Lonchura striata: one gene and its partner. The protein of the gene in region 1 purifies or fractionates together with the protein of each later gene. This does not show direct contact. Links are inferred from orthologs where the notes say so. Each region holds a gene or a part of one and is shown in the gene's direction. Other genes may lie near its edges.

What was found.
Region 2: the proteins of PRKAR2B (region 1) and PDE4DIP purify together in Homo sapiens (affinity purification with mass spectrometry; 4 studies listed by BioGRID and IntAct, counting the BioPlex papers as one, with this or other methods). This does not show direct contact. The link is inferred for Lonchura striata from reciprocal best matches to the Homo sapiens genes PRKAR2B and PDE4DIP.

Annotation. Positions count from the first base shown.
Region 1 is NC_134607.1:59,474,122-59,484,737, reverse strand, and holds the start of PRKAR2B (cAMP-dependent protein kinase type II-beta regulatory subunit), read left to right. Parts: upstream 1-6,609; 5' UTR 6,610-6,660; coding exon 6,661-6,988; intron 6,989-10,616. UniProt on the Homo sapiens protein: Regulatory subunit of the cAMP-dependent protein kinases involved in cAMP signaling in cells. Type II regulatory chains mediate membrane association by binding to anchoring proteins, including the MAP2 kinase.
Region 2 is NC_134611.1:106,639-117,399, forward strand, and holds the start of PDE4DIP (myomegalin), read left to right. Parts: upstream 1-6,746; 5' UTR 6,747-6,964; coding exon 6,965-8,113; intron 8,114-10,761. UniProt on the Homo sapiens protein: Functions as an anchor sequestering components of the cAMP-dependent pathway to Golgi and/or centrosomes.

The DNA of each region.
Region 1 (10,616 bases):
TAGAAGATATCACTTCCAGATTCCACAGTTCTGACTCCCTCTTTCTGGAAATTAGGTCCCAAGAAACTGAAGCAAATTCTCTTAATGACTATTTTTAAGAACACTGACAGTTACTGAGAAACTCAAGGCATGGAATTTTAGCATTGCTCTCCATCCAACAGCTATTTCTACTAATTTTCTCATAGTTTTTGCCATAAAGTAGATGATCTGAAGACTTCAGATCTAAGCTCAGGACTAATAGAAGAAGATTTGCAGGGAGGAAGTTCATTTTTCAAAAATTATTGGATTCCCCAGCTCCCTCGAGGAAAATGAAGAAAACTATCCATTCACTATCAATCTTTTTCATTTAAATAAAACCCAAGCATCCATGGCAGTGACCGTAAGTTTTCAAAAACACATATGTATTATGATTTTTTCACTAGTGCTTTGTATTTCAGAACAGCTAAGAATTACTGCATCTTTGGATGTTTGTGTGTTCCTCTAGTGACACGATAGAGTTTGATTTTCCAAGAGAACATGTTGAGCCATCTCTGATAAGCAAGACTGATGTTATTCTTTTCCATAAAGGTGCTACTAGACTATACAGACTCATATCTTTCATCTCTTAGATCATATAAGCCTCTTCTACTGAGCATGGTAACAAGTGGGTAGATAAATGTTGAGAATTCTCCCAGTCTTTTCACCTCAAGACGTTTCCTTCAGCTTGTGGATAATTCCTACGTCTCTTTTCTGCACATCTCCATTTCTCCATATTCTATTGAATATATGAACACTATATCTGTACTTTTTTTTACTGGTCTCAGGAGTGCTTTATTGAGGGAAGATCTCCCACTCCTGTTTTTGATCTCCCTCTTGAAACAAGCAAAAATCTCATTTGTCTACAGAATTACACCAGAAATTGGAGTAAAGCTGTTTTTCCATTCTGATCACCAGACTCTTCTAGAAGCACTGCCTTCCAAGACAGAGTCCTTCTGTTCTGTAGAAATCTCTTTCTTCTGAAGTCAAAGACTTAATAAAGAGCTTGTAGAGTATGATTTTCTTTAAATGGACAAGTCATCCAGATCATCCTATGCTTCCCCGAGCTCAGTGGTATCACTGTTCAACTGGGTTTTGTGTCATCTCAAAGTTACATCAGCAACATTTATACTTGCTCCCATGTGATTGCAGGAGGTGTTGAACAGAAGCAGCCTACAGTCAATTCTTGGGGAACTTCTCCATCTGATGATTATTTTCTGTCATTAGCTACTTGGAGAGATGTCTCTGTTACCCATTTAACAGGTTGTCTTGACAGTGCATAGTGCCATTTTTATAAAAAGTGTAGGGCATCAAACGAAATAAGATCCTCAAAATAGATGAAGTCTACTACATCTACACTTCCATTTTATTTCATTACTCTTAAAATGGGAAGGTTTACTTTTAATGACAAATTCAGTACTCACTATATCGACTTTAGAAACTCTAGGCACATTTTTCTGAAATTACAGGTGATTATGAGAGCCCAAACTGAGGCACATCAAAAGGAGCACTTTTCTAAGAGACAGTATCCTGTAGTTTCTGAATATCAAGGATGACAAACAACAGATTTCAATGGCAATCAACAGCTGTTCATTTACTGAATAGTAGCACTTGTAAACAGAACTTGTAACAAATCACAAAGCTCATATTCCCTGGAAAATAGTTTGGGTTTAAAAAGGACTTGGTGAGTGAAAAAGCAAGGGACTTGAGGTTAGAATATGTGATACTCTGCATTTCTTTTGAACATATTATCTCAGTAAATGAGGTGGATGGAACACTTGGATTCAGGACCAACATAAACCAACTAGAATTTGAATTGCTGATAATGTGATACTCCTCCTCCTGAGCCATGACTTCTGCTCTCTTCTCACGGAGAGCATGATGATTCATCTCAGCTCTAACAGTCATATAATTTCACTGACTACATAGCACTACAATGCCTAAAAGGTGATACAAGGGAGAGGAAATGAACACTTGTTCCTGGGTTAGCAGGTGCCATTTTGTGTGAGGAAACTCCTCAAACTGTGTATGTGGTTAATCTGATTGTGAATTGGTACTGAAAGTGGCAGGGACTCTTTCATTTACACTGCTTTGCTGCTATTCTGTTTCTTCAGGTGGATTCCTTCCACCCAACTTTCAAACTTGGCCCTTCTGTTTGCTCAGGGAAAACCTTCATTGACGTAAATAGCAATTTTACTTAAGTATGTAAGTGGGTATTGGTTCTTGCCATTCTAGGTTTACAGTAGGCAGTGGAGGAGTTAAGGGGTTTGAATCCACAGAACATAAGCACAGACAGAGTAAAGGGTATGAGATGAAGGAGATTCAATTGAAGGAAGAATCATGGGGAATATGTTAGAACTTGATTCATGCATCACAGGCACTAGTTTCTTATATTGTTTAAAGAACTGAACATTTTTCTGAAAAATGGATTTGGGCTTGGTAATGGATTTTGTAATACAATAATGGTGACATTCGAATGAGAATAGAAAAGTGTGAAACTATGGATCTACACAACTGCAAGTTTTGTTATTGCTGGAAAATTCATTGCTAAGTGATTGCTATTAAAAACAGTTTCAAAATTCTGCGAGCAAGATTTGCCTATTAAGCCAGAAGGACCTGAGTAGGAAAAAAAAAAGTCAATACATGTAATATTTTAAAGGTATTTTGGAAGATCAGAAATTGGTACATGATTATTCCTATGAACTGTGGTTGTTCTAAACTCACAAACCAGCTATCACTCAGTCAAGAGCCAGGAATAAAAAACATTACTGTATAGCTGATGAGATTTTGAAGCAAATATAAAACATGTTGGGATTTGAAGATGCCTTCTGACCAGCAGCTTTTTTGGCATGCAGTATGCAAAGTGTATATTTACTTAAAATTTCAAAAGCCTGGACAAAAGATTTGAGATATCACAAATCAATGATCTTTTAAACACGGGAAATTTAGGGAGTAACATCTCCCAAACACAAACATGAGTCTTTTCCTACTATCCTGCATTAGGCAGAGGGCCTGGCTTTGCCATGTGTTTCTCCAGTACAATATGAACTCTTTCCATGGAGAACCACTGTAGAAATGACTAGATTGCCAAATTGAGAGAGACTGTTACAGATGATGAGATCAGGATCTCTTCTTTCTGGGCTAGCTCTGCAGCAGGTCCAAGGACACAGTAAGAACAATCTCTCTTGCCTGACAGGATGTAACAAAGGGCAGATTTAAAAGCTGGTATTCCACTGGTGTGCTTTCTAAAGTTGCTTTCCTCAGGGGAGAAAGGGCTTTGCCCTGGCTTACACCCTGATGTTAAGTGTACACTTCTGCCCCTCTGAGCACCACCACAGCATCGCAGTTTAGCCGGGGTTCATCGGGAGATGGTTGTTGGAGAGCAGGTCTTGGGAAGCACTGGGGAAAAACATTCTTATCAGGCAAAACATTGAAAGCTGGCAGAAAAAAAAACAGGCTTGTAGTTGGATGCTGAATGGACTTTGTTAGGTCAAGTTTACTAAATTTACATCGACCTGGTAAAGACAAAGCCTGAAAGTCTGGCACTCATCTGTTCTGCACTGAGTTAATTGTCCTCCATGTGATCAGAAAATATCTCATCCTCTGAGCTCTGACAAAGTATTCCCAGCCACTGTCTGAAGCATGCTGTCTGGAATTGTCCTGTGGGAGACAACTGCTATTTCTCACCTGTTAGCTCTAATCACCTAGTTTCTCACTGCTGCAAGCCAGGTGAAGGGACAAGAACGACATGCAAAGCAGGTAAGCAGTATGTTATGAAAAGGGCATTTGTTGGCCAGGAGGAAAGGACATAACAAAGTCTTTATGTTATTTCCTTTGGAATTGTGAGGCGAATATTCTGCCTAATCCTTTTTCAGTACAGTAGGATTTCTGTAGGTTGTAAATTCTCTTTCTTTTCAAGAAGATATTTACAGCTGAATGAGATGGCACTCAAAAATTAGTAGTAGCTAATGAAACTCATTGGAGAGGTGTGAACCAATACTCTCACTATCTAACTGTTCACTCTGCTAGACATAACACATATTTTTGGCAGCTGTCTTCCTTACAAGGATTTAAAAGCAATTTAAATATCAATACAAGGTCTTTGGAACAGAAAGCATCTAAGGAAACTAGATGACACCAACTTGAACTACAAAGTTTCCTGCCATCCTTTGAGATACACAAACCTCAAGGTAAGTTTCACTAGACACAAATGTTTTGTGCTGTTTTGAAACCTTTTTTAGAAAGAAGCATTTTTTAGAGTTCTTCCACTTAGGAATCTCTTATTCAAATTATCTGAGTTTTACATAAAAGCATCAAAGGCTGGCTCTTGAGGATGTCTTCAGAGGAGTGATCTCATTTTAAGTCTGGGAGGATGAGAGTCTCTGACAAACTAGGGGAGTCCTTGATTAAATGGCGAAAGACACTATGCTACTGGTAAATTCCTAGAAAAAAAGACTGCCTTGTCTGGGTACAAGAAAACCTCAGGGATGATAACTCTTCTAACCTTGGAAGACTCCATTAAATGGAATATTATATGCTCACAGGACACCTAGTGCTTGGAAGGCACTAATTACTAACACTTCTCTTCCTGGGAGCTTCCTCAAAGCTTAGGTATGTCTCAGCTTGGTCACAAACAGATCAATCCTATCAGTGGTGTGAGAAGGTTTTTAAGCTCCCAAACTTGTGAACGAGGCAATCTGGTATTTCGAGGTAACCCACGCTCCAGACTAAGCTATGCACCTGTCCATGATGTACAGGTGCCAGCTCTCCTGCTGCACCTGATTCTCAACCATTTTAATGTGCTACATGCTGCAGCAGCAGGGCTTCCAGCAGGCAGGTGTGGTCAGGGCATGCCAGCACTGCAGCAGGGCATGGAGTGGGGGTGTGCTGGCAGCCCCCTGGACGCTGCAGCAGTTCTTGGAGCCTGATGATAGAGCAAGCTTCTGCAGTCCAGAGAGAACTCGTAGTCTGCCTCCAGACGACTTAGCTTGACTTTGAAGAGGTTCCTCAAGCAGGACGGTGCTAAACAACAGTGAATTTAACTTCAAAAAAGTACTTTATGCCTGCAGCATAAAGTGAAGCCACAAGATGTTGCCTGAAGGTATTCCACAGCTCAACTGGTAGAGATGTCTCCTGCCTGTTACAGGGCAGCAATATCACCCACGCAGGCATGGTTTACTCACTTCACTAATTTACCTGGTCTGTAACACTTTGAAGATCCAATCTGTGAACCAAGCTCCATTTGAAAATACATACACAATCAGAACTGGGTTCCATTTGGAAATTAATTGAACTTAAAACTGGCTTTGATATCCCTGCGTGAAAAGTGTCACAGAGATTGCTGTATTTTGCTGTCACCTTATTTTTTCGAGGTCAGGTCTTTCAGTATCTCGCTACTGCAAACTCACACTTGACTGCTTATCTTACCCTAAGCCCCTATGAAGCTCATTGCAAGGCCATTTGAAGAATGCTGAATGTTTAATGAAATCTATTCTCAAACAGCCATGTTGTCACAGCCTTTAGAGGGTTTAGCAGTTAATTTGCTTGATGCATAAAAATAAGACTCGAACAGATCTTTCTGGAACCCCAAAACGTTGGCCAATATTCAGAGGTGATAACAAAGGGGGGGGGGAAATGCAGCTATCAAGCATTCTATGGACTTCACTTTCAAGAAGCAGTTTAGTGAAGCATTGAAAAACATGGCACCCGTAATTGCTACTTACTCTACTTAAAACATTTAAGCTTCCTGGTGATGACAAGCAGCACCCACTTACCACTGTGCTAAGTATCTCTGCAGCATGGCTTGGAAGAGCGTCTATGCCGAGCGTTGGCATTCAGCAGTGTTTAAATTGGACTTCTTCCCCCATTTTTAAACAATTCTTTCTTTTTCCAGCTAAATTTTTCGTGGACCTGAAACAAACAGGATGTTCTTGCTTGCACCACATCACCCCTCCCAAACTAAATGATACAGATGAATGTAAATCGACAGCACTTGTATGCGTATGAATGATGTGGAGAAGAGCTTTAAGGTGGTGCATGGCCGTGAAAAAGCACAGCAGTGCACTGCGGTCCTTCCCTGAGCGGGGACACGTCCGCTCAGCGGGAATCCCCGCTGGTCGCGGGGCGGATGCCCGGACACCCCCGCAGGGAGACGGCGCTCACGGTTTGGGTCCCCGGCAGCCCGTGGGTGGCGGGGGCCGCGGTGCGCGGCGTGGCCGTGGCCCGGCAGGGCAGCCCGTGCGGGGGCAGGGATGCGGTGCCCTGCCCTGCCCTGCGCTGCCCGCCGCCCCGCCGGCTCCCGCGGCGGGCGGGCGGGGCGCGGCGGCCGCAGTCCCGGCGGGAGGTTGTCATGGTTTCCCGGGTCACATGCGCGCGGGTTCCCCGGCGCGGGGGGAGGCGCCGCCGCCGAGGCAGCCGGAGCCGCTGCCCCCCGCGGGCCCGCCCCCCGCCCGCTCCCACCTGCGCCGCCGCCCGCCCCTTCCCGCTGCCCACGGGCGAGCTGCCGGGCGCGCCTCGTCCCCCGGGCCGCCGACCCCCGGCCCTGGGCTCTCCCCCCCTCTCCTCCTCCTTCTCCTCCTTCTCCTCTCCCCTTCCCCTCACCCTCCCCCTTCCTGGCCGGGCTGCGCCCCCCCGGCCGGCCCCGGCATGAGCATCTCCATCCCGGCGGGGCTGACGGAGCTGCTGCAGGGCTTCACGGTAGAGGTGCTGCGGAGCCAGCCCGGGGACCTGCTGGAGTTTGCCCTCCAGTACTTCGGGCGCCTCAAGGAGGAGGCGGCGACGGCCAAGGCGGCGGCGGAGAAGGAGCCGAGCGGCCGCCGAGCGGGCACCGGCCATGACAGGGGCACTCAGCCGCCGCGCCGGGGCCCCCCCGACGCCCGCGGGGTCAACTTCGCCGAGGAGCCCATGCAGACCGACTCCGAGAGCGGCGAGGACGAACAGCCGCCGCCGCCGCCGCCGCCGCAGCAGTTCCCGGGTAAGGCTCCCCCACCTCGCCGGCCCGGGGGTGGGGGCGCGGGGGGCTCCGCGGCCGCCCGGGCTCGGTGCGCGGCCGCGGGGATGGGCTCGGGGCCGGGCCGCCCGCGGGTGCGGGGCCGCGGGGCCGCGGTGCGCGGGCACGGCAGCGGCGGCACCGCGGGCAGAGACCGCCCGCGCCGACAGCGAGCCCGCGGGAGGCTCCCCGTATCCCGCGGCAAACTTCAGCCTCCCGGGCTGTCCCCTGGGGCTCGGCGTGCGGGTATCACCGGCTGCGGCGCTGGAAGCGTATGAGCCTGGCATAGTCCAGCGAAGATCTATCCGTGTGTTTCCTTTTTATAGGAGCAGATCTGCATTCCGTGATTAGTGCAAGGGCATGTCTGCCTTAGAAAATACCTCCCGTGGGCATGTTGTTCACGCACTTGATTAAACGTTTTGCGTAGATGTACTTACATGTGTTTTAGAAAGTAGAGCACAATTTAAAACATAATTTCTTCCTGAAAGCCAGAGTTAAATTTTGTGCATTTAGAAGGGCCTGTGGAACAAGTGTTGCTGTGACAGCAAAGGACATTTGCAGTATCTTTGTGTTTGAAGGTAACACCGATCTACACGCAGCTAATGACACCTTATCTTTGTGTGGCTGACAGGTTTTATTTAGGGACTGTGCCAATCCATCTGCTGGTGTGGGTTATGGGACGGGTGGGAGCTGCCTCTGAAGGGTGCACAGTGCTTTGTCTTTGTGTCATGAGCAGGCTGACTGAAGGGACAGTCAGTAAGGTTAGATGGAGAAGAGGAAAGCGTCCGAGCATCTTTATTGTATTTTTTTGAGGATAGCTTGAGGCGTATCTTATCAGATCATCAAAGCAGTCATCCCTCCGAGTCGTGCTGGAGGTAGACTTACTTAGCAGAGTATGGAAGGCAGCTGTTTGCTAGTTGAATTTCAGTGCAGGTTTTGAAATGATGTCTTATGTGCCTTTCATCAGGAAATGTAGATAAACAAGTAGGTGTTTAAGAAATGGGTGAGTTTTCAAAATGCTTTGTGTTACCCCATAAGACAGTCGCCATTCTTCTCATCTGTTCTTTCCAGCTATACCCACATGTATTTAATGAGAAATTGAATCTGTCAATCAAGTTCTGCAATTTTAAACTGTAATGCTGATTCTGTGAGATTGGTAGAAATTTGAAAATTTGCTGTCTTTGAAAACTGAAATAATCATAATGTGGAAGAAAAAAATTATCGCATTTCACTAATACTAGATGTGGCCTTTCAAACATTAATTATTCTAACACCAAATCTCATTGCTAAATGGAAAACTGGAATGTTGTATGGAGGGAAGTACATAAAAGTAGTTTTATTTATTAATATGTATGTGTTACGTACCTGTAACTTTACAGGATGCTCTAAGAAGCTTTCTAAGCTTTTCAAATGAATACCAGTAATTAAGATTCTTTTGACAGTCTTTTTGTTGTGATTGTGAAGAGAAAAAGCTATTATTGCCAATATTCTCATTAAGGGACATGCTAGAATCTCTTAGTTTGACAAATTGATTTACTTGTTTGACAAAAACCCTTTAAAATGCCACATTTTTAAGCCTAATATATTTTGAGCATTTAATTGTATTATGGTTTGTAAATTCTGTCTGTTCAAATAATTGTTAATTAAAAGAAACAAAAAATGAAAATATTTGTGAAGCCATGTGAAGATTAATAAGAAGTAACTCATGGTAAATGATTATTAATAGTGTGCTTGTGTATATGTACATTGTGCAGGAGTGTGTATTTAAAATTCAAATTTTATGTCTGCCCTGAATATATTCTTCTAAGGTAACATAACAATGAATCCATTCAGCCTTTTGTTAATAACTGGAGGCATAAAGGCTTGTACTCAAATATTTGTTTAATGGGTTTAGATACCAATTTCAAAGCATGTTTCTTCTATGCTTTTGCTTTCTGTTTCTAGAAGTAGCAATTTTTAAGAACTGACGCTTGGGAGAAAGTTTTAAATTTTTTTTGCCTTTATGATTTATTAGACGACTTCCATATAGCAAATTTGCCCTGTTTGCATCCTTAGGAGAGGGCAATAAATTTAAAAAGTGGATAAGCAAATGCAAAATGAAAACCTCTGTTAAGGAGGTCAGGCCTGGTGGTGGTGGTATCTTTCCTTTGCTAAAGCCGTACATTTGAAATCTCAAACTGACAGTGTTCCTTAATTAATTCAATCAGAACATTGTTGAGCTCTCACTGTAAATGCTCCAAACTTTTATTTTCCTACCAAATGTTTTTAAGTACCTACAAGCTCTGCAGTTGAACTCTTTGTCAATATTAGTTTTGTCCTTGAAATGTATTTTGGAAGTGTATCCTGTTTCAGAAATGATGAGCTGAGGCATAAGCTGTGTTAAAAAGAAAAAACCCCTGTACTCAGGATTAAGAGTTATATGTGAACCTTGAATTAAAATCTGTTCAGGTCTTTATTGTGTCCATTACCTCGGCTGCAGAAATCACATAAAGGTAAAAGCAGTTACCTTGTCTGGAGGGAGAACTTTGTTGTATTGGTGTCATAGTTTTGAATTGACACCTGGAGTTAAGGTGACCTCAGAAATGACATTCTTTATGTTCAGAGCATTTAGATTATCCTCTTTGGAACACATGGTTTAATTTGGGAATGTTTTTCAGGTTTTCTAGTTGGTTTGTTTGGTTGGTTTTTTAAAAAAATATTTAATTGTCCTACATGGGTATATTGGCATTAATCAGTTACAACAACTAATTCCTACTCAAATAAATAGCAGACACTAAATTGAACAGGAAATATACATAAAAATGAGCCCTGTTTTAGAAAATATGTCTAACTTTTAGCAAGTCTGAATTGCATATTAAGATTTATTATATTGTGTTAGCAACATTTGAAAATGCTCATTAAATTATTTATTCTTTTTACAGTGACTATACTTTTCTTCTGACTTTACCACTTACATATTGATTTGCAACTTATTTTGATGGGCAATAGCCTATGTAATTTGTAACAGCTGTTTTAAAATGGTTGCCGTAGATAAAAATTTCATCTAGCCTTAATATGAATTAGTTGAAGAGTTTTTTGAGGTAACATTGCTGTTCCTTAAAGTCAAAAATTACAGTGCTGCATATATCATTTGGCACACCGTAGCCTCTGTTTACTTGATTTTTCTTTTGTTTTGTTTTACTTCAGTTTGTTTTGGTATCTTTTTCAGATAGTGGTGTATTTTAACAGGAAAATACTACAGCTGTCCCTCTCCTCCCCCGTGTACTTCTGTTGGTGTGTTGGTTGCTTTGGGTTCCTTCTTTGGAAACTTGAGCTAGAAAATGCAAGTCTGTATCTCAGCTTAACCCACTGATTGTGCCTAAATAATATGAGATCACTGTTTAGGTAAAACATGCATATTCTACCTTACAATACTAATTTTAAAGGCATGTCTTTATTTTAGTTCATTTATTCAGTCTGAAGTGCTTACAGATGTACTATTCATAGAAATTTTGAAATAATAGGTAAATTGTAGAAACCAGAAAAAACTTTGCACGCAACTACATTTGTGCCATGTGTACGTAATGGGCAGATCAGAGCAGTGGAAGGGCTCAGGAAGGACAAGGTAGCAATA
Region 2 (10,761 bases), on another chromosome or scaffold:
GGAGAGTTGAGTAACAGTAATATATGTGGCAGCATGTATTTCATTAAGCTTATTTGCCTGTGCAGTGTTGTGTGTTTCATTATTTAAAGAATCCTTAATCATGAAAAAGTTACTTTTTTGGCCATGGTGTCCTTCAAAGTCCCAGTCACAGGGCTTTGTTCCACTCTGTGCAGTTTTTCAGAGCCAGGGCAGGATGATATTATCTCACAGGACCTCCTCCTTTGCCCAGCTCATCCTTTCTTCTGCCAACTATTTTCTCCATCTGCAAAGTTAACAGTGTAGGCTGTAGGTGGTAAGCCTTAGCCCTTGGCTCCTCAGTCATCACCCCGCAGCATCCCCAGAATTTGGGGTGTTGTACTGTCTCTGTGGGTATTCTGCCTCTGGGCATTGTGTCTCTGTGCATCAAGTATTTGGCTGTGATCCCTCCTTGCTTGTGCCTCTGGGTATTGCCCTTCTGGGCATCAGGCCTTGCATATCATGTCACTGGTTAATGTGCCTTTTTGGGTATTTTGCCTCCAGGGATATCATGCTCCTGAGCACTCTGCTTTCTTAAGAGCTGTGTATCCTTGTGCATCTTGAATGTTGGATGTTTTGCCTCTGGGTGTCACACCCAGGGCACTGCTACCTACTGGGGTGTCATGCCTCCAGAGGTCACACCCCCCTGGATATTGCACCTCTTGATCTCCTCAGGCTTCAGGCTTCTGGATATTGAAATTTGGGTGCCTCTGGCTTTCACATTTCTGGGTAAGATGCCCTAAAGGTGCAGTGCCTGCAGGTACAACACCTCTGGGTATCACACTGGTTATGGTGTCTGGCAGGGCACACAGCCATGCCTGACCAGTGCTGGTGTGTTTAAAGTCATCGTGCCTCAGTGTCCCTCCATGACAGGTTGTTGCTGCAAGGTCTGTGGCACCCTGTGCCTGCCTCTCCTGCTCCCTGCCAGGCTGGCAGTGCTGTGCCTTGCTTCAAGGTGCTGGTGTGGTGTGCAAGGCTGTGGGGACATGGTCCCAGAGCCCCTGCCATGACTGTGCCACAGGAACATGCTGTCCCTCCTTGGCTGTTAGGGCTCAGGCTCATGCATGTGGGCAGGGCACTGTGCCCACACTGATGCCGGGACAAGTGCCCACCTCCCTGGGACCCCACCAAAAACCTGTCAGGCTGAAATTAGAAAATAAATATTCTTATTTCTTTAAAAGGAGAAAAAACCCCAACAATACAGGGTTGGGTTTTTTATTTGTCATGTTTCTCTTTCTTTCTTTTAAATCATGAAATGACTCACACTTCTGAGCTGAAAATAAACCTGACTATCAGCTGGTGAGCCATGACAGCATGGAGGCACAGGGTGCCTCCAAGAGCAGCAAGGGCCAGCCGTGCCCCCAGATCCTCCCTGGGGCTGTGGGGGCCTGCTCTGGGGGCTCAGGTGGCCCTGACAGGGCTGCTAATGGAGCTGAAGTGCTGCTGAGGGGACGCTGCCATCTGCACAGCCCCCAGGGCCTCGTGTCTGTGCACTCAGAGCCTCTGCCCAGCGGCTGTGAGGACACACACGTGTGTCCCCACGTGTGCGCGGACACCAGTGGCAGCCCCGTCACCTCCCCGGTCCCTCCGGCACAGCGCGGGTGGCACGGGGGGCCCGGCCTGGACCCCCGGTGCTGTGCGTGACATGACCGTGTGCTGCTCCCCGCAGGGACCCCTGCAGCAGTGACACTGTGCCAGCCCTGCTCCCCGGAGCCAGACGCATGGCGGGTAAGGCACCCCAAGAGAGCTGGTACCCTGCATGCCCCGTTCCCCTGCTCTGCATCACCCTGGGATGGCCAAGGGCTTTCTGGGCCCCAGCGTCCCCTTGTCTCTCCTCTCCTCGGAGGCACGCGAGGTGTGGAGCGGCCACTTCGCTGGTCTGACTGCTGCTCGCCCTTGCTCCCTGCCAGCTTCCCAAGAAGGGCTATGGGGTGAAGGTGATGAGGATGCTGTGCCAGTCGAGCCGAGGGGATCCAGCGGCTCCCCGGGTGCCCAGCCCCAGCCTGGCCCCTTGGTGCAGACATGTCTCCTGCGGGATCTGGAGATGGGGCCCCTCGCCCACACACAGACCCTGCGGGACTTTGAGCAGGTGAGTCTGCGGGGACCCCGCATGGCACCGCCATGGCCCTCCTGGCACTGACGGGCGCTTGCAGGGCCCATGGCGGCTCCACAGGGTGTGGAGGGCAGCAGGGTGGCGGGTGTGGAGGGCAGCAGGGCAGTGGGGTGTGGAGGGCAGTAGGGTGGCGGGTGTGGAGGGCAGCAGGGTGGCGGGTGTGGAGGGGAGCAGGTGCGGAGGGCAGCAGGGTGGTGGGTGTGGAGGGGAGCAGGGCAGTGGGTGTGGAGGGGAGCAGGGCAGTGGGTGTGGAGGGCAGCAGGACAGTGGGTGTGGAGGGCAGCAGGGTGGCGGGTGTGGAGGGCAGCAGGGGTAGTGGGTGTGGAGGGCAGCAGGGCAGTGGAGTGTGGAGGGCAGCAGGGCAGTGGGTGTGGAGGGCAGCAGGGTGGTGGGTTTGGAGGGCAGCAGGGCAGTGGAGTGTGGAGGGCAGCAGGGCAGTGGGTGTGGAGGGCAGCAGGGTGGTGGGGTGTGGAGGGCAGCAGGACAGTGGGTGTGGAGGGCAGCAGGGCAGTGGGGTGCGGAGGGCAGCAGGGCAGTGGAGTGTGGAGGGCAGCAGGGTAGCGGGTGCGGAGGGCAGCAGGTGTGGAGGGCAGCAGGGCGGCGGGTGCGGAGGGCAGCAGGGCGGCGGGTGCGGAGGGCAGCAGGACAGTGGGTGTGGAGGGCAGCAGGGCAGTGGGTGTGGAGGGGAGCAGGGCAGTGGGTGTGGAGGGCAGCAGGACAGTGGGTGTGGAGGGCAGCAGGGCAGTGGAGTGTGGAGGGCAGCAGGGTGGTGGGGTGTGGAGGGGAGCAGGGCAGTGGGTGTGGAGGGCAGCAGGGTGGCGGGTGCGGAGGGCAGCAGGGTGGCGGGTGCGGAGGGCAGCAGGGCAGTGGAATGTGGAGGGCAGCAGGGTGGTGGGTTTGGAGGGCAGCAGGGTGGCAGGTGCGGAGGGCAGCAGGGTGGCGGGTGCGGAGGGCAGCAGGGTGGCGGGTGCGGAGGGCAGCAGGGTGGCGGGTGCGGAGGGCAGCAGGTGTGGAGGGCAGCAGGGTGGCGGGTGCGGAGGGCAGCAGGTGCGGAGGGCAGCAGGGCGGCGGGGCAGGTGCTGGGGGCAGAGGGGCCGGGCCCGCCCGGCGCCACGCTCCCCACACCGCCCTCACGGCTGCGGCGCGTGGGGGCCTGCGGGGCTCGGGTTTCACCAGCCCGCTGTCCCCGCTCCAGCGATTCCTCAAATAGCTCTGGGAGGCGGAAAAAAAAGAGGGAAGGGAGAGCAGCAGCGGGGCCAGCGACGGGAGCTGCGGGCGGGCAGGGAGCCTAGGCTGTGTCCCGGCGGCGCCATGTGAAGGGTGCCGGGATGCCCGCCTCATGGAGCGCCGGCCATGGCTCACGGGTACCGCACGCTCTCGCAGCACCTCAATGACCTCAAAAAGGAGAATTTCAGCCTCAAGCTCCGCATCTACTTTCTGGAGGAGCGCGTCCAGCAGAAGGGCGAGGACAGCCGGGACGATGTCTACCGACGGGTGAGTGCCTGTAGGGGACGGGGCGAGGGGGGTTCCTCTCTTTTCTGGGAAGGAATAGGGTGAGCGGAGTGTACATGGGGGGCATGCCAGGGAGGGCTTTGGGCACTGGGCTTGGAGGAGCTGCTGTATGGGAGTTTGCCCCTCGTTTCCTTTGACAGGAGAGGGTTGGGGACAGCGTCCCCAGCCCAGCTGGGGAGTGCTGTCACCCATCCTGCCTGGGATGGGTGACATTGCAAGTTTGGGGGCACACAGATGGCGTGGGTACACCCCATCCCGGCGCCAACGGGCTAAAATACCACCTGTGCCACTCACCGACAGGAGCACCCAAAGCCCTGCTATGGCATGGGGGTCCCCCACGCAACTTCTTCATTCCCGTGGGCAGTGGGGCTGGGGTGTCCAGGCAAGTGTGAGGGCATCCTACCCACCTCTTTCCTGCTCCATAGAACATTGAGCTGAAGGTGGAGGTGGAGAGCCTGAAGCGGGAGCTGCAGGAGAAGCAACAAGCCCTGGACAACACATGGTGAGTGCGGCTGGCCAAGCCCCTCACCCCAGGGCAGAAATGGTGCCCATGCCCCACCTGTGGTGGGTTTGTGGGCATGGACATGAGGGATGTCTGCCTGCACCCTGCCTGTAGCAGGCAGTAGAGGGGCCTGCAATGGGGCTGGAGGGGTTTGCAATGGGGCTGGGCACCCACAGGGCTCCTCTTACAGCCCAGGCGCCAGCCAGGAATAAAGGACAGCACCTGTTTGGTGGGGGAGGGCAGTGCTGTGCCCAGGGGCCATGGCATGGGTGTCTCACCGCGGGGCACCGATGGCAGGGGGCCAGTGGCACAGCAACTGGCGAGGCCTTGGTTTTGGGAGTGTGTGGATAGTGCTCTGGTGGGTCAGAGCCTAAACATGGCCGGGTGCTGCCAGAGGAGCAGTGTCCCCAGGGCAGAATGTGGGGGGAGCCAGGTTAAGGGCACCTGGAGTGGTACAGATCACCCAGCCCAGCTGGTTTGGGATGGAGGCTTTCACAAAGGCTGTGCTATGCCACACCATGTCATGCTGCACACTGCCAAGCTATGCCGTGCTGTGCCATGCTGTGCCATGGGAGATGCCATGCCGTAGCAGGCCGTGGCACACCGTGCTGTGCCATGCTGTGCCATGGGAGATGCCATGCATAGCAGGCCGTGGCACACCATGCTGTGCCCGGCAGGGTGGCTGCGGAGAACCAGACAAGCCGCAGCCAGGCCGCACTCCGGCAGCAGTATGAGGAGCGACAGCGGGAGTCGGAGCACGTCTACGAGCTCCTGGAGAACAAGATCCAGCTCCTGCAGGAGGTGAGCCTCAAGGGATGGTGGGCACGGGGGAGGAGCCAGGGGCTGCTGCCTGGGGTCTCACCCTGCTGCCGTGCAGGAGGCCAGGCTGGCACGGACTGAGGCCGAGCAGGCCACGGCACTGGCCCGAGCTGAGGCAGAGAGATGCCGGGAGCTGACAGGGAAGCTGAAGGAAGCGGCAAGGACAAAGCAGGAGGACAGCAGTGACAATGGCTGTGGCTCCATGGCGCAGAGGTGGGTGTCCCTGACATATCTCCTCTATGCTGCCAGCCTGTGTGCTGTGCCAGTTCCTGGGGACCACCAAGGGGCTCGTGATGTGCGTGATTGAGGGGCTGAGCATATCTGGTGGGATGCAGGGATCACCCCAGTGTGGGAGAGCTGGGCTGTGGGGAAGGGAGAGTAGTCCTGAGGTTGCTCTGCTCTGCCCCAGAGATTGATCTCTGTCCCCAGTGTCATCCCATGGCCATCCCAGTCCTGAGCATCGCATGCCCTTTGTCACTTTCAGGAGGATCGAAGAGCTGACCCAAGAGCTGGCCGCCAGCAACCAGCTCGTGGAAATGCTGTCAGCAGAGAAGCGTGACCTGCAGCAGTGCCTGGAGGCGTCTCCGGTCATGGAGGGGCAGGTAAGTGGGCAAGGCTGGGGGGACCCCAAGGAGGAGCACAGCCATCCAGGGCCTGACTGGTTGTTGTCACCCCTGTCCCCTTCTGGGGCTGTGGCCAGGGCTGTGCAGTGTTCAGCCTGGCAGGGTTGGGTGATTGCCAGGAGCCGGGAGGAGCTGCGAGGCTCAGAGGACATGGTGTGAGCTGTCAGGGGACAGGCCACCAGCCTGCGCAGTCTTTCTGAGGGTGTTGGTGCCGCTTGCTCCTGTCTGCCATTTAAATCCCAAGTCTTAAAATACTCCTGGCAGCCTGGCATGGTGCCAGGCAGGATTTCGGGGCTGTGAGAGATCAGAGCGGCATGTTCCTGGCAGCTGCACAGCTCTGGCCACGCTGGATGTTGGTGGCACGGCGCTGTCCCCAGCAGCCAGGGGCTGTCAGTGCGTGAGCTGCCTGTGCCATGCTCCTGCAGGGACCCTGCTGTTTGCCCAGCCGGTGGCATGGGCTGTTGCTGGTGACACTGTGCTGCAGGGACTTGCCCGCCCACACTGCCTGCTGGGGCTGGGCACGGGGGGCATGGGGGCCTGGTGTTGGGACAGGCACTGGGATGAGGATCCAGCACTGGAACAAGATCCGGCACTGGGACAGGTGCCACACTGGGACGGGGATGCGGCACAGGCACTATGGTGGTGCCTGGCACTGGGACAGGCACTGGCATTGGAACGGGGACGTGGCACAGGCACTGGGGTAGAGACGTGGCACTGGGACAGGCACTTGCGTTGGAGCCAAGCACGTGTGTGTGTGTGTGTCCTGGCACTGAGACTTGATCCCTGCGCTGTCGCGATCGATCACTGTCGTTGTCTGTGTCGCGACCCCCGGTGCCGCCCGTGTGCCCGGGCGTGGCGCGAGCCGCCACTGCGCATGCGTAAACGGGCGTGGTAACTACATATCCCGGCAGGCGTTGCGGGCCATGCGCGTGCGCGGGAGGCTGGGCTTGGCCGCCATCTTGAAATCTGAGCCAGAAGCCGGGCGCCGCCGTGGCAGGAGCATCCTCGGCTCGGGCGGTGGGGCCGGGCCGGGGCGGGACGGGCTGGGGCAGCCCGCAGTGAGGGGCAGCCCCGGGTTCGGGGGTTGAGGAGAGAGGGGCAGCATCGGGGGCTCGAGCTGTGAGGAGAGGGAGCAGCATCGGAGGGGCGGGGGGGCCAGCCTGGACAAGGGGGCAGCCCAGATGTGTCTGTGAAGATGTGAAGGAGGTGGCGCAGGGTGGGATCTTTCTGTTGCATCAAGAGTCCCGGCGTGTCACCACCCTAAAAAGAGGGGATTGGTGCGGTGAGACGTGCCGCCAGGCTCAGGGATTGAGGGAGATGTGCTGACCTCGGGAAGGTCTCCTGAGTAGGAGTAGGTTTGGGTGCCGGGAGGGAGGGAGGATGAAGGATAACTGCCGGATCTGCGGCCGGGAGCTGTGCGGCAACCAGCGGCGATGGATCTTTCACACGGCAGCCAAGCTGAATCTCCAGGTGCTGCTCTCCCACGTCCTGGGCAGGGAGCTGTGCCGGGACGGCAGGTCCGAGTTCGCCTGCAGCAAGTGTGCCTTCATGCTGGACCGCATCTACAGGTTCGACACCGTCATCGCCCGCATCGAGGCCCTCTCCATCGAGCGCCTGCAGAAGCTGCTGCTGGAGAAGGACCGTCTCAAGTTCTGCATCGCAAGCATGTACCGCAGGAACAACGACGACTCCAGCACAGAGGACAGGGCTGGGGAGGGAACGGTGGACCTTTCCAACCTGCCTGATGCACGGTACGCTGCCCTCCTCCAGGAGGACTTCGCTTACTCTGGATTTGAATATTGGATGGATCAGGAAGAGCATGGCCTGGAGCCGCACAGCTGCCACGGCTCTGAGGGGGCAGGGAGCCGCCCGCGGCGCTGCCGGGGCTGCGCTGCCCTGCGTGTGGCTGATGCAGACTATGAAGCCATCTGCAAAGTGCCCCGAAAGGTGGCCAGGAGCATCTCCTGTGGGCTATCCAGCCGCTGGTCAGCCAGCATGGGCAACGAGGAGTCGTCTGTGTGTGATGTGGCCGAGTCCACCAGCTCCAGGGTGGCTGTGGATGGGGACAGCATGGAGGAAGGCACACCTGCATCCTCTCTCGAATCTCTGGACACCACCGTGGAGGCCAGCCCTCCGCAGCAGAAGGATGAAGATGCAGATAAGGGGGTGAAAGGGAACGGGAAATGTGACGATTTGTCGGATGATCGCATGACCCCGAGCTCTTCACTGAGTGGGAACAGGCTGGAGCTGGCCCTCAATTTGATCAAGACTTTAGACTACAAACCCCTTCAGAGCCCCCGAGGCAGCCGACTACCTATTCCTGTGAAGTCCAGCTTGCCACCTCCCAAGCTCTGCCGCGACTTGGCAGATGGCAGTGCTTCTGCTGGTTTAGCATGTGCTAGTTCTGCCTTCCTCAATGCAGACAGAAAATCATTTTCCAGAGCTCCTTTGGGCCTTCCCCTGGAAATTTCTGAGCTGCAGGAGCTGTGGGATGACCTCTGTGAGGATTATATGCCGCTGCGGGTACAGGTAGAGGTCACAGTGCCGCCCTTCCATTGAGCATTGTCCTCGTGGTCCAGGGCTGAGCCCACTGGGGATTCTTCTGTGCTGAGATAATGCAGACAGCCACGTGTGGCTGATCGGGGGCTAAGAATAGGCAACTCGGTCCTTTTTAGGTGTGCTGCCTCTCTCCTCAGTCATTCTCTTGTCTCCTGTTTCCTCCCGGTGTGGTGTTCTGGGAAATGAACCTTCCCCCCCCTCCATCAACCCTCCCCGGCAATGCAGCCTGCTAGGTGTGTCTAAGCTCTTTGTCATTTTCCTACTGAGAAAACACCAGTTTCACTTCATCTTTAGGCTTAAAGTCGGTGTGGTTTTTATACACAACTAAAGGGAGTATTTTAAGCTTCTGGGCATGTGTTTTCCAGCAGATGTATTTTCTTTGTGCCTGAGTAATGTTTGGGAGTGTGGGGAATGCCTGCTTCTAGCCCTGCCTCTGCAGGTCGGGCCTCAGACCTGCCGAACGTGCAGAGCCACCCAGGAATCTGTGGCGTGTGCCCTGAGGAAAAGGTGTTTTCCTTGCAGGTGGATTTGTGCCAGAGGATGACTTTAGGGTTGGTATTCAAGATAATTGGTTTATTTTCTGATCCTTTGAAAAGATCTATCAATTAGTGGCAGGTGTTGCTGAGAGGGGATGAAAGCTCCTGCTTTTGGGATGCTGTTATCTCTCTTGATAGCAGTCCTAGCTCCAGGTTGCCTCTTCTTTGCTTGCTTTAATGAAATGTTCTTTAGTATGCAGTCAAAAAGCCGAACTCCTAATTTCTTTACCACTTCCAGTAATGAATAGAAGGCTTCAGTCAGGTTCAATTCTGGAATATCCGTGTCAGCCTAATTGCATTCCGGTTAGCAGCCTTAGCGCTGCCTAATGCTGTAGGTAGCCCGGGGGATTAGGAAAATGCTCGTTTATTACTATGGCAACTGTGCAGTGCTGAATTGCTCTTGCTCTTTAGCTGCCGGCTTGCTGTCCATCTGCTCAAGCGTTTCCCGGAGCTGTGTGCTTTTTTCCTAAAAGCCTGCTCTAGAAACGATGCTAGGGAAAAACGCAGGAAAACTAGTTTTCATCTTGGAGCACAAAGGCATGGTGCTGGCAGCCGGCAACTGAGGATGTAAACCAGGGCATCGTGTCGTTTGCTGATGGTTCTCACTGCTAGGCGTGTGTTTGCAGGATAAGAATGGGCTTTCTCTGAGCAGCGTGGCGTGTTTGCAGGTTGGCTTTGTGTCACACATGACCATCCTCTTCTAGGAACTGTATTTTGAGGAGTTTCTCCATCCTCTCCCATCCGACCGGCCCTGCCAGGAATTTATCCTGCAGGATATTTTACTGCTGGTTTCTTGCCGTGACAGCAGCAACTCTTCAGCGCAGGGTCTGGCTGAAGGGGGAAGGGCTTAATCCCTTCGGGTGGCTTTAAGAGCAAAAGTGGCAAGGCAGATGCAGCTAGTAGACTGAATAGTTCTTGCACAAATGATTTTTCTTTCGTTTTGTAAAAGCAACACCCTTCCTGTAAGTCAGGTGCTGCTGCTGTCCAGTGATTCCTGTGCATAAATGTGAAAGGAATATCTAGAACATACCGGACCGAAGTTCTCTTAAAGCTTTTGCAGTTCTTTAAATTTATGGAGCATTCTGGTGTCAGGACATGTGACCTTGTAGGTACTGCCTTCCTGGGGGTTTTCTTGAGCCAACAATTCCTCCCCTTCCCCACCACAGCCCCAGGGAGGTGGCACCAAACGGAGCCTTTGTGAGACACTCCCGCAGCTGCCTGCGGTGCCCTCCTGACAGCCGGGCTCTTTCTCACTGTGCTGGGCAGTCTGAGCTTGGCAGGCTCTGAGAGTGTCATGAGAATTGTTTTTAAAGAAGTGTTCTGTTTGGGTCAGTGTGTGATGGGGCTGCTGCTGCTGTGCTGAGGAGAGATTGGCAGTAAAATGCTGATGTTGGAGAAGTCGACATGGCTGCAGGGAGGCAGCTTGGGCTTTGGAACTTTGGACTCTGGAGCTGGCTCTGCATTCCCCTCCCTGCTCTCAGCTCTTTCCGGGTTTTCTGCCTTTTTTCTTTTCCTTTTTATTTTTTTTAATGTGAAAATTGAGGAAATATATTTTCCGTTTCCCCCCCCTCTGTTTTAATCAAAATAGCTTATTTCAAAATAGCTGCTGTGACAGAATCCAGCAGCTCTCCCTGTCTCATCCATAGCCTCCTGGCAGAGAAAATTTGTAATCACCATGGCTGGAAGTTTTCACTGAAATCCTAACAAAACATCAGTGTAAAGGGAGATGTTATTTCTGTCTGTGAGAGGCAGTGCTCTCACAACTGAGGGAGCTCCCCCGTGCTGCATGAATTCCCCACAGACAGCGTTTCTGTGGCCACTGAGGATGAGGATTCATTAGCCTGACAGGGCTAATTGGAACTGACTGTTCTGGCTGTGCTGCAGTGCCTGGAGCTGGTGCCTGTGTGTGTGTGTGCAGCAAAATTGTAAGGAGGGATGACAAGGGATTAGTGTTGTGCTCAGCCAGCCGGCTCTGGCAGGCCACGTGTCACAAAGTAGGCTGTTTACATTCCCAATAAATGGGTATGTGTCATGAAAAAAATCTCAGCTGTGGCACTGAATTTGCTCCTGTTTTGAGGAGCT